Linked DNA regions of Mus musculus. The main gene of each other region encodes a partner of the protein of the gene in region 2 in a complex. Links are inferred from orthologs where the notes say so. Each region holds a gene or a part of one and is shown on either strand. Other genes may lie near its edges. The genes, in order: Polr3g, Polr3c and Polr3k.

Region 1 (3,651 bases), on a different chromosome or scaffold from region 2:
GAAAACATGAGTTCAAAAATATATAATTTCTCAACTATGCAAAATAATAAGGATGCAATATGAATTATATAAGGAGCATCACAGATCTAAATGAACAGAGGCAGCAGTACTGTGAGCCAACTTGTCAGAAAGATACAAGGTAAGGAGATAAAGAGATTTAGGGAGTGGTGATCACAGGGCAAGATCCTACCCAACTAAGTTTTTGTGCTTGCAAAAGCAGACAGATTTCTGAGTTCAGCCTGGGACAGAGGGTGTTTAGGTCCAGGGCCAGGTGAGGCAGGAATGGTAATTCCAGCTCTTAGAATATTTTCTAGCAGCTATCCAGAGAGAACTGCTTGGAGAGCTAACATGGCTTTTAGAATTTTTTTCTGGCTTTCTGATTTTCATCAGAAAACCCAATAATTACTTTTAGAACTTTTCTAACAGCATTGACTTGGTCAGAAAATCCAATAATTTTTTTAGCAGCTTTTCTGACTTTGATCCGAAAACCTATGAGCTATCCAGAAAGCATTTAGAATGTTTTCTATTACCAGGGAGCTGTCTCAAGCAGGGAGCTGTCTCAAGCAGACTACAGAGCTAAGAGCTATCTACAAAGAGCTACCTAGGGAGCCATCTCAAGCAGAATACAGGCCATCAGTTTGTACCCCATGATTTGACTTCAACCCATTTGTTTCACTGTTCTCAAAGACCCCTTCTCTCAGAACCCCTCTCCAAGTTGAGGCTAGTCCTTGGCATACACCTAAGCCTCAGGAGGCATCAGAGAAGAGCGAGTGAAATGAAAAGAACCCAGGGACTAGGAAGGACACATGATGTGAGACAGTGTTATCTAGAGATGACACAAGTCACATCCATGAAATCTCAACAGTGTTGTTGTCAAAACAGACCTTCATAAGGATAGCAGCAGCTGAAACGCCAACATGGATGAGGGAATTCAACCCCAAAAGACACGGCCCCTGGCAATCCATAAAGAGCTATAGTCAACTAATTATTGTAGAGAGAGGGAAAAATCAGTTTTCTCCAAGAACAAGGCCCCTGATAGGTTATCCAGTTTCTAGTAGTCAGTCCTTCACACATACATATGAGCACCATTAAACGGACCCAGGAGGCTGTGCGTATATGTGTACATATGTGTACCTGTGTGTATAATGTTGTACATATAAAGTACATACATATAACAACAATAATTATAGAAGAGGTCATGAGGGGGCTGGTGAAATGGCTCAGCGGTTAAGAGTGCCAACTGCTCTTCCAAAGGTCCTGAGTTCAAATCCCAGCAACCACAAGGTGGCTCACAACCATCTGTAACAACATCTGATGCCCTCTTCTGGAGTGTCTGAAGACAGCTACAGTGCACTTACATATAATAAATAAGTAAAGAAAGAAAGAAAGAAAGAAAGAAAGAAAGAAAGAAAGAAAGAAAGAAAGAAGAGGTCATGAATTTGAGAGGGAGTGTGGAGGACATGGGATGAGTAGGAGTGAAAACGATGGAATCATATATAAGATTCTGTAAATGATACATAAAATTCTCAAAAAAAATCCAAACTATTAAATTTTTTTTAGTGCATAATCTCTTTATCTAATTCTATACTGCCACGAGTCCTTCAACAATGGGCTTCTCCATCTGAAACATGACAGATTAATGCAGGGTCAGGTCACTCATGATTGTTGGTTTCCAGCAGGAGCACATACCCATCTGGAAATGGAAACTTCCGCTTTCAGCTGAATGTAGAGGAAACATCAGCTGTTCTATCATTCAGTTTAGAAGCAATCGCAAGAGTAGGAGAAACGTTTCTGCCCTGAGCAGTTAACAAACTCTGAAGTGACTCAGAACAGGGATGCAGCAAAGACAAACTTGATGAGACAAACATGGCATCATAGTAAGGAGCAAAATCTTTTTTACAAATACAGAATATGAAGAAAACCACTAGCTACACCAGGGGCATCATGAACCTAACTTGGCTACTTAAAATATTATTTTGGTAATTAGAATATATTAATGACATCAGTAGAAGACACAGATTTCAAATAAATGTTCTTAGTATACACAGTAGTCATCATGTTTGTACAAAATTGTACATACATACATACATACATACATACATACATAGTTTTTGTTCTCTGTTTTCTAAGAAAGCAGTCTTCAGCAGGATCTGAGAATAATCGGATGTTTGAGTGCAAAGTAAATGCAACATACTCTTACTCTTAGACATGAGGATATCATGATACTAGCATGTACTCAAGCCCTAAGCAGAACTGCACTTTCCCATGAAACACAAAAATACATTGTGAAAACTGAGCTATCATCACACGTACAGGAAACAGGGGTGGAGGCTTCAACACAACATCAGGTAACTTCTCCCCTCTGCTGAATCCAACAGCTTCGATATTAAAGGTGTAGGCAGCACGCCCTCTTCCTTTATTGCCAGCCATTGGAAGCAGCTATAGCAGCCGTGTGGACCAATGCTGAAAGACACAATTAGTGGGTAAGATTCACTGGATCATACACAAAAGGAAACAAGCATTTTAAAGCAAAATACAAGATTCTAGCCCTCATATAGCATGGTTGATTTAAAATAATTTTGAACAGAGTTCAAGGATCTAAGCAGAAGAGGATCTATGCAGGGATCTATGTATATTTTGGCAGAAAGATTGTAAGAGCCAGAGTAGATGGATAACTGCAAAGAAAATGTGTCTTCAAGACAGAACAGGCCTGGTGCACATGAACTCACAGACTGTGGTACCACACGCAGGGTCTGCACGGGTTCAAGTTAAACAGGGTGCCAGGACCAAGAGAGTAAAATAGACAGACTGCATCCCCATCCCCATCTCCAACAAGGAAGGCAAGTAGATCCTGGCACTCACCCCTAACCAAGAAACCACTGGCACAATACAGCCTATACTTGCTTGCAAAGTAACAATTTGTTTTTAGTTTTCTCCAATGGAGTCTCTGGGGAGGCCTCAGGCCCAGTAGTCTGAACTTGATGGTCCTAATCGTAATTGTTTTAAAAAGAATTTTTGTTTTATATTGCTTTGTGGAGTTCTGTCTTACCGGTCTATTGCATGTATATTTTAGTTTCTGTTTGTGTGTGTGTTTCTTGTTTTTGCTTCTTAAAGAGAGAGAGAAAGAAAGGGTGTGGGGGTTGGGTGGAGGAAAAGATCTGATAGGACCTGAAGGCAGGTTAAAGTGTCACTAGAATAGATTGAAACATTTTCTTATCAGTTAAAAAGAAATGTGCTTAGGAACAAGTGTCACTGACGGCTAAAGTTTCACTGCCACCACCAGTAGGGATGTAGCCTAAAGGCTACAGCCCCTTCACTTAGGTCCTCAGGAAAGGGCTGACCCTAGGTCTCCTTAGAGATCCAGCTGGAACTATACAGCCAACTGATACAGTTCCCTCCATCTCTGGGGTGTGATAACAAGATCTCAGATATACAGAAGAAGAAAGAGGAGGAGAAAAGGAGGAAGAGGAAGACATGAGGGGATGGATAAATTCAGGCTGAGAAGAGGAAATCTTATGTCAGTTTGAGCGCTAGTAACCATACACTGTAACTCCACACAAGTTATTTATCCTAGAATCTGAGTGTTAAACAGGACTCTGGGCTGTAATGTCCTTTTAGGAATATGAAAGGGATTCATAAGGCTCTGAAAAG
Region 2 (3,173 bases):
CACTTGGGTTTTTTCTCCTTCTACTCTGTTTCTGTCAGGGTCTGACTGTGTAGCACTGGCTATTTAGAGCTCACTATGTAGACTAGACCCCAAATACAGAGATCTACCTGCCTCTGCCTCCCAAGTTTTGGGATTAAAGTTGTGCAGCCCTCTTGGCCTCTTTACTCTTATAAGCAATGATACTATGAATATTTCTTTTTTTTTTTTTTTTTTTTTTTTTGGTTTTTCGAGACAGGGTTTTTCTGTGTAGCCCTGGCTGAATATTTTTTTAAGATTTATTTATTTTACGCCGGCATGGTGACGCACACCTTTAATCCCAGCACTCAGGAGGCAGAGGCAGGCAGATTTCTGAGTTCAAGGCCAGCCTGGTCTACAAAGCGAGTTCCAGGACAGCTAGGACTATACAGAGAAACCCTGTCTCGAAAAAAAAAAAAAAAAAAAGATTTATTTTATGTATATGAGTACACTGTAGCTGTCTTCAGACAGAAGGTGGCACTGGATCCCGTTATAGATGGTTGGGAGCTACCGTGTGGTTGCTGGGAATTGAACTCAGGACCTCTGGAAGAGCAGTCAGTGCTCTTAACTATTGAGCCATCTCTCTAGCCCATGAATATTTCTTAAATACTTTTATGTTTTTGAAATCTAAACTTAGGACATCTTGTTTCAGTTACATTTAGCAATTCTGCGTTCTGACCCTGTTTCCAGCATCTCCTTCTGTCCCACAGATCTTCAGGTCCCTGCCCGTCGGATATAACATCTCTAAACAGGTTCTCGATCAGTACCTCACGCTGCTGGCAGATGACCCAGTAAGTCTCTTGCCCCCTTAGTCTGATCACAGTTTCTCTCCTATAGCCTTCTTGTGTACTTAGCCATCCCAGACAAAGTCCCTTCACCCAACAGGAAAGCTACCTGCTTCAGTCTCTTGACCAGATGTGCTCCGTGGGAAAGAGAATTATGCAGTTAACACCGTTCACTCTCTTTCTTCTTAACAGCTAGAGTTTATTGGAAAGTCTGGCGACAGTGGCGGAGGAATGTTTGTCATCAGTATCCTTTCAGCTGCCTGTCCTGTCAGGACCTCTGAGTTAGGAAGCAGGGCCTGGGAAAGATTGTTCTGGGTTTTTGTTGAGACAGTCTCTGTAGCCCAGCCTGGCCTTGAACTCACTGTGTAGCCTAGAAGTTGGCAGTAAAGTCCTGATCCTCCTGCCTTTACCTCCCAAGTGCTGAGTTAGACACATGTGCCACCTTAAGAAAAGAGTTTGTCAATGCTTAATATACTAAACAAGTTTTAAAAATGAACTTTCTATTAAGTTTTCTGTGAATTTCAGTGAGTTACATTAATGAAAATAAAAAAAGGCTCCAGCTGCCACTCAGTAGCACCACACTTACTGTTCTAGGTTCTGGGCCAGATCACCAGCATTGCCACAGACAGGAAGAGGGTGGGGTGGGCGGGGAGCTAAGAAAGGGAGGAAGCTGGGGAGAGGCCAGTGTGGTAGTAAACCCTTATAATCAGAGCAGTTTAGGGGCCGAGGCAGAAAAGTTTAATGGTCAAAGTCAGTCTGGCTACATAGCAAGACCCTGTCTCAAAAAAGAAAAGATTTAAAAAGAAAAAGAAAAAAAAAAAAAAAAAAACACTTAAGCAAACCCTACATATCAGACCTGAAATGTGAAAGCAAAATAGCAGTTAATTTTTAGTTTTAAATTAGGAATTTAGTCATGAAACTAAGGTAATAGTGACCAGGCTAAAACATTACTAGATGTCCTTAATCCTCTACCTAAAGACCTCCATAAAGCATTAGCGTCCCTAGCCACTGCAACTCTGGAGTCTGTCATCCAGGAGAGGTAAGAGGCTCCTTGACTGGGGTTGGGCTCAGACACTTGCTATCCACACCCCACTGAACAAGTCATTAGGTTTTTATGGCATACCCCTGCCACACTTGGTCTCATCTCTCCCATAAAGTTAATTCCTAGTTAGGCAAATTAACCAGCCACCCTAAAGCTCTGTAATACAAGCACTGTGGAGTAGGTAGGAGTAGGTAGGCATCTGGTAACGAGTTAGAGGAACAGTGCCATCACCAACCTCAGGAGCTGTGTCAGAACGGATGCAGTTTTCCTCTCGGGTCCCGATTCCACACGTAGACTAGTACCTCCACGCTCTGAGACTAGGAGCTAAAGCATGCCACGCGCTTCTTTGTCCCTTTCCAGATTCGGGTCTCGCTGTGCCAGGATATTCCGTCTGGTATTGCAGAAGAAACACCTTGAGCAGAAGCAGGTGGAGGACTTTGCAATGATCCCTGCGAAGGAGGCAAAGGACATGCTGTACAAGATGCTCTCGGAAAACTTCATCCTGCTGCAGGTGACCACAGCCCCAGTGCATGCTGAGCAGCAGGGCTGACCTTGACAGCCTGGGCCCCCAGACAGACACCATAACCACCTCTGAAGCAGAAAAAAGATTAACACAGACATAGCAAATCCTCCAAGGATCATGTAGACTTTAACTGGCCTCTCAGAGAGACAGACAGGGTGCACCAAGAAATCAGCTCACAATTATAACTTCCCTGCTCTTTCTAGCCTCCAGCCCATTATTCCTGACCTCTCTCAGCCTAGATCTTTAATAGAGTAACTTGTTCAGCATAGCTTGGATTCTGTAGTTCTGTATTGAGGACCCTTTGAAGACGTAGGTTGATAGATTTTGGAGTCAATTCACCAAGCAAGTCAACTACCATCCTCTTCATATCTGTAAAATGGTGGTGGCTGCTGAAATAAAAGCAGTGCTTTGCACCAACCACAGTAATGCATACCTATGATTCGGTACTCAGGAGAGTAAGGCTGAAGGACTGAATTTATTTATTAATCACTGTCACAGTTATTAATAAAGGCTTGTGTAGAGTTTGCTCAGTAAATATTAGTTGCCTTTCCTTTCTTCCACCCAGGATGCTGATAGACAAATGGAAACTGGGCAGCCTGCTCCATGTGACTGATTATGTCATAACCATAGCCCCTGATTGGCTAAGAAGGAAAGAAGATCAGTGCTGACAGTACCAAGTGGATGGCTGTTTATCTTGCCCATTCCAAATAACGTACAATTTCTCTCTTTATTTCTGTGGACAAACAGGAAATTCCTAAGACGCCAGACCACGCCCCGTCCAGGACCTTCTATCTGTACACTGTGAATG
Region 3 (4,202 bases), on a different chromosome or scaffold from region 2:
TGTCTCGAATTTCCTCCTCCCCCCCTTTTAATTTTTTTAACATTATTTTATGTGCATGTTTTGCCTTCAGGTATTCCGTGAATCATGTTCATGCAGTACCCTTGGATGCCAGTAGAGGGCATGAGATCACCTGAAACTACAAGTACAGAAGGTCTGAGCTGCTATGGAAGTTGGGAAGGAAATCCAACTTAACCACTGAAATCCTACCCAACTATTTCTTGGTTGACAGACTGACTGAGGCAGGGTCTCATGAAGCCCAGATAAGCACTGAGCCTTCTGCCTATACCCGGAGAGCACCAGAATTATAAGCTTGAGCAACCATGCTTCACCCCTAGTTACAATTTTTTTTTAATTCATATAATAAAAAATAAAATGAAAATAAAAGACCAGGGCTGATCATTTTTTCAGTGTTGGTATTTGAAAATACATACAACATAACTCTCGAGAAGCCTACACCTGCTAGAGCATGGATCTCTCTTTCCCTCTCAACAGCTATGTTTACATCAATGTTGAAACTTTTTTGTAATGAACTCCAATTTTGCTTCAAGAAGAGAATATGCACCAGATTTATTTTTAATTATACTTTTCCATATCTGACTTGAGAGTCTAAATGAAACAACAGTTCAGGTATCCGTATGGTAACTTTCCTTTAAAGAATACTTGAAAGAATCTACTTTAAAAAACATTTAATACAGCCAGGTGGTGGTGGCATATGCTTTTAATACCAACATACGGGAGGCAGACAGGTAGATCTCTGAATTTGAGGCCAGCACAGTCTACAGAGCAAGTTCCAGGACACCCAGACTACACAGAGAAACCATGTCTCAAAAAACAAAATCAAACAGCAACAAAAATGTAAAACCTTGTTTAGAGTTAGTGACAAACACTAGCTATTTGTCATTACTTTGTTATTTACATCTTCTTAAATTCTTTTACACTTACACGTACGTACGTGTGTGTGTGTGTGTGTGTGTGTGTGTGTGGTGGATGGTACAGAGTCACAAAAAAAAAGTTTCCATCAGTCAGCTCTCTTCTACTCTCTGGGCTCCAAGAATCTAACAGGTTTGGCAACAAGTGCTTTTACCTGCTGAGCCATCTCACTGGCCCTAATAACAGACAGGGTTACATTATAATAATAAATTTATTATTATTAAATATAATAACGAGTAATAATAAGCAGGGTTGAGTCCCTAGCTCTGTTATGGGAAAATCCTCACCTGCAGTAGAGTCCACATTCTCCCATGCAGCTGCTCCACCAAGCACGTCGTCCACTTCTTTTAGCTTTGGATACTTTCGGTTTGTTACCTAATAGAAACAAGACATCAGATTTGAAGTAATTGTACAGTTTTACAAGTGGGCCACCAAACTACAATCTCCCTCCAGCATTCCCTCTACAAAATTTATCTTCTTCAAAGAGCAGTGTGAGTCACTGAAATGTAGGGGTCTTGTGACTGGGATGTCCCCCAAAACAGCACAGAGGTTCAATGTCAAAGGTCTCTAGAAACAGAAGGAAACACCAGACAGAGCAGGAAGAAAAATCAGCCTAGTAAAACCTCACTCTTCTCTCATACCCCTCAGACACCTAATAATCCAACAGGAGTGACAGACATTTAACTGGGTATACCAGCACTCCCCAGGTCATTTTGGCTGCTTTCCTAAGTTTATCAGGCATCCTTCTAATTTCGAAATTATGTCACAACTCATCTTACCACAAATCCAGACTCTAAACTCCTACCATACAGCTCTAATGAGCAAACATTAAGAATGAGATGTCACCAAGGCCCAGTGGTGCACACCTGCAGTCACTGAGGTAAGGAGGAACAAAACAAGAGTTGAAGGGTACACAAAACACCAAGGGCTAGAAATACAGCTTTCTGGGCTCCAACACAAGCACCACACACACAAAATAGCAACAAGGATATAAAATATTAGAAGGCAATGCATTCTGTGAAAAATATAAAAGGAATGTGGATAAACTGAAAGTGCTGGGGTTTGGTTTGTTTCCTGTGCCTGTGCGTGCGTGTGTGTGCGTGTCTATGTGCTATGCAGCCCAGGTGAGCCTTGAACCTATTCTCCTGCCGCAGCCTCTCCAAGTGCTAAAATTATAGACATGCACAAACAGCCAGAAGGGCAGGAATCTAAATAAGGTAGCCATTATTTTAAAAGAGGAGAGGGAGAGAGAAAGGAAGAGGGAAACAGAGACGCATACATGCACACATACACGGGGGTAGGGGGTAAGGCGGAGAATGAATAAGTGTGATATGTGCCTGTGTAAGAATGACTCGGGCAAAAGGAAGGACCTAACAGTACTGCGTACATGGTGAAGATTCTCTAGAATAACGACAGGGGCTGGGAGCAAAAGAGCCACAAGAAGAACCCAAGGATTTCAAATCAGAGGCGAGGCGCGGACTGGTACGCCAAGGACAGCACGAGGGGAGTGTAGGTTTAAAAGGTATGAACTAAAATTCTCACAATTTTCGGAGTATCACAAAGTGGGCAACGGAGAGCTAGAGGGGGGTGGGGGGGCTTCGACGTGGCCGGAGCGACGCCACTGGAGCAGCGACTGCTGGACTTGGGGTACCACCGCAGCGAGAGCACAAAAGCCTGCAGGAAGGTCTGAGCGCGCCGACGCTTGCTGTGCCTCCCAGAAAGCAGAGAAGGCACCCGTCTGTGGAACTTACCTTACGGGTGATATTATGGACGTAGGGGCAAGTGTTGCAGGCGAAGCGATGGCAACGCTGCCCCTCCTCCACAATGAGTCCGTTCCCGCAGCCCGGGCAGAACAACAGCATACTGCCAGCTTCCACACCTCGCTTCTGTCTGGCGCTTCCGTGGTGCAGGCGCCCAATCAAAAGCCGTCTCACTTGCTCCGTAACTGGCAACCCGGGATCCTCAAGACGTTCCCAGTAGGCACTGCGGCGGGCAGCCTCGCACACTCCATTGGTCACCGCAGATAATCCTTTCCCATCCAGCCAATAGCATGCTGCCTGCACGCCCAGCCCTGTCGTTTCTGCGCGTGTGCACACGTCTCCCTAGCTGAAACGCCAAGAGGACTGGACCGATAATGCTGGCACCACCAGAGTACCCAGGTGAGAGGTTCTGGGTGATGAGGAGACACTTGCCGCACTCCGAGCCATGGACGTGTTACAGGAGGATCATGCTGCTCCGCAATATTCTCATCCGGAACGGACAGAAAATAACCAAATGTCCCAGGAACACTGTCCCCATTGTTAATACTACGTCTCAACTGCTGTCTGACTGACGTACGATATCCTATCTGGACCTGCCATTCCTCCATCTGGCCATTTCTTCACCTAGTTTCATTCTGCCCTTTCACTTACACAGCTAGACTCAACCCTGCAGGTAACAAATACCAGCAGCTCCTTTTCACAGACGTCCAGCTGACTCTTTTATCTCATTTCCTATAGACATTTATATTTCCCAGCTCTGGCTTCTCAGATTTCTTTGAAACTCCTTGCCTCTTTAATCCTCTGCAGTCATTCTGCAACATGCACATGTATGTGTGTGTTGTTTTCTGTTTGCTTTAACTATACACAAACTAAATATCCAGGGAGAGGAACCCCAATTGTGAAAATGTCACCATAAATTGACCAGTAAATAAGTCTCTGGGGGCATTTTCTTGAGTTAAAATTGGTAGGAGAGGGTCTAGCCCATTGGGGGCGGTGTCACCACCAAGCCAGTGGTCCTGGGTGATATAAGAAAGCAGAATGATGGGGCTGAAGAGATAGTTCAGCTGTTGCTTGTTCTTATAGTGAACACTGGTTTAATTCCCAGCACCAATATGGTAGCTCACAAACGTCCATAACCTCCAGTTCCTGAGAATCCAATGCCCTCTTCTGACCTCCGTAGGCACCAAGCACGTCTTTGGTGCACGAACAAGCATTCAAAAAAAAAAAAAAACAAACAAACAAAAACCCTCATACACTTAAGTAAGTCTAAGAACAAAATGGAGAGAGAGAAAAAAGCAATCTGAGAATCTGAGTAAATCATGAGGAGCAAACCAGTAAGCAGCATCCCACCATGGTAATGGCTTCTGTTTCTGCAGCAAGTTCCTGCATTGACTCCCCTAAACAATGGACTCTTGACATGTAAGCCAAATATTTATGGCTAGTTTTGTGTCAACCTGACACAGCTGGAGTTATCACAGAAAAAGGAGCTTCAGTTGGGGAAATGCCTCCATG

The links.
Region 1: Polr3c (region 2) and Polr3g share a complex: the UniProt entries of both Homo sapiens proteins name them as parts of the RNA polymerase III complex. The link is inferred for Mus musculus from reciprocal best matches to the Homo sapiens genes POLR3C and POLR3G.
Region 3: Polr3c (region 2) and Polr3k share a complex: the UniProt entries of both Homo sapiens proteins name them as parts of the RNA polymerase III complex. The link is inferred for Mus musculus from reciprocal best matches to the Homo sapiens genes POLR3C and POLR3K.

Annotation. Positions count from the first base shown.
Region 1 is NC_000079.6:81,697,431-81,701,081, forward strand, and holds part of Polr3g (DNA-directed RNA polymerase III subunit RPC7), read right to left. Parts: intron 2,464-3,651; 5' UTR 2,431-2,463; coding exon 2,314-2,430; intron 1-2,313. UniProt on the Homo sapiens protein: DNA-dependent RNA polymerase catalyzes the transcription of DNA into RNA using the four ribonucleoside triphosphates as substrates.
Region 2 is NC_000069.6:96,714,300-96,717,472, reverse strand, and holds part of Polr3c (DNA-directed RNA polymerase III subunit RPC3), read left to right. Parts: intron 1-667; exon of another isoform or gene 668-725; coding exon 726-806; coding exon of another isoform or gene 807-827; exon of another isoform or gene 828-961; intron 962-992; coding exon 993-1,044; intron 1,045-1,778; coding exon 1,779-1,839; intron 1,840-2,202; coding exon 2,203-2,353; intron 2,354-3,112; coding exon 3,113-3,173. UniProt on the Homo sapiens protein: DNA-dependent RNA polymerase catalyzes the transcription of DNA into RNA using the four ribonucleoside triphosphates as substrates.
Region 3 is NC_000068.7:181,863,049-181,867,250, reverse strand, and holds the start of Polr3k (DNA-directed RNA polymerase III subunit RPC10), read right to left. Parts: upstream 2,892-4,202; 5' UTR 2,793-2,891; coding exon 2,682-2,792; intron 1,306-2,681; coding exon 1,218-1,305; intron 1-1,217. UniProt on the Homo sapiens protein: Core component of RNA polymerase III (Pol III) which synthesizes small non-coding RNAs using the four ribonucleoside triphosphates as substrates. Can mediate Pol I proofreading of the nascent RNA transcript.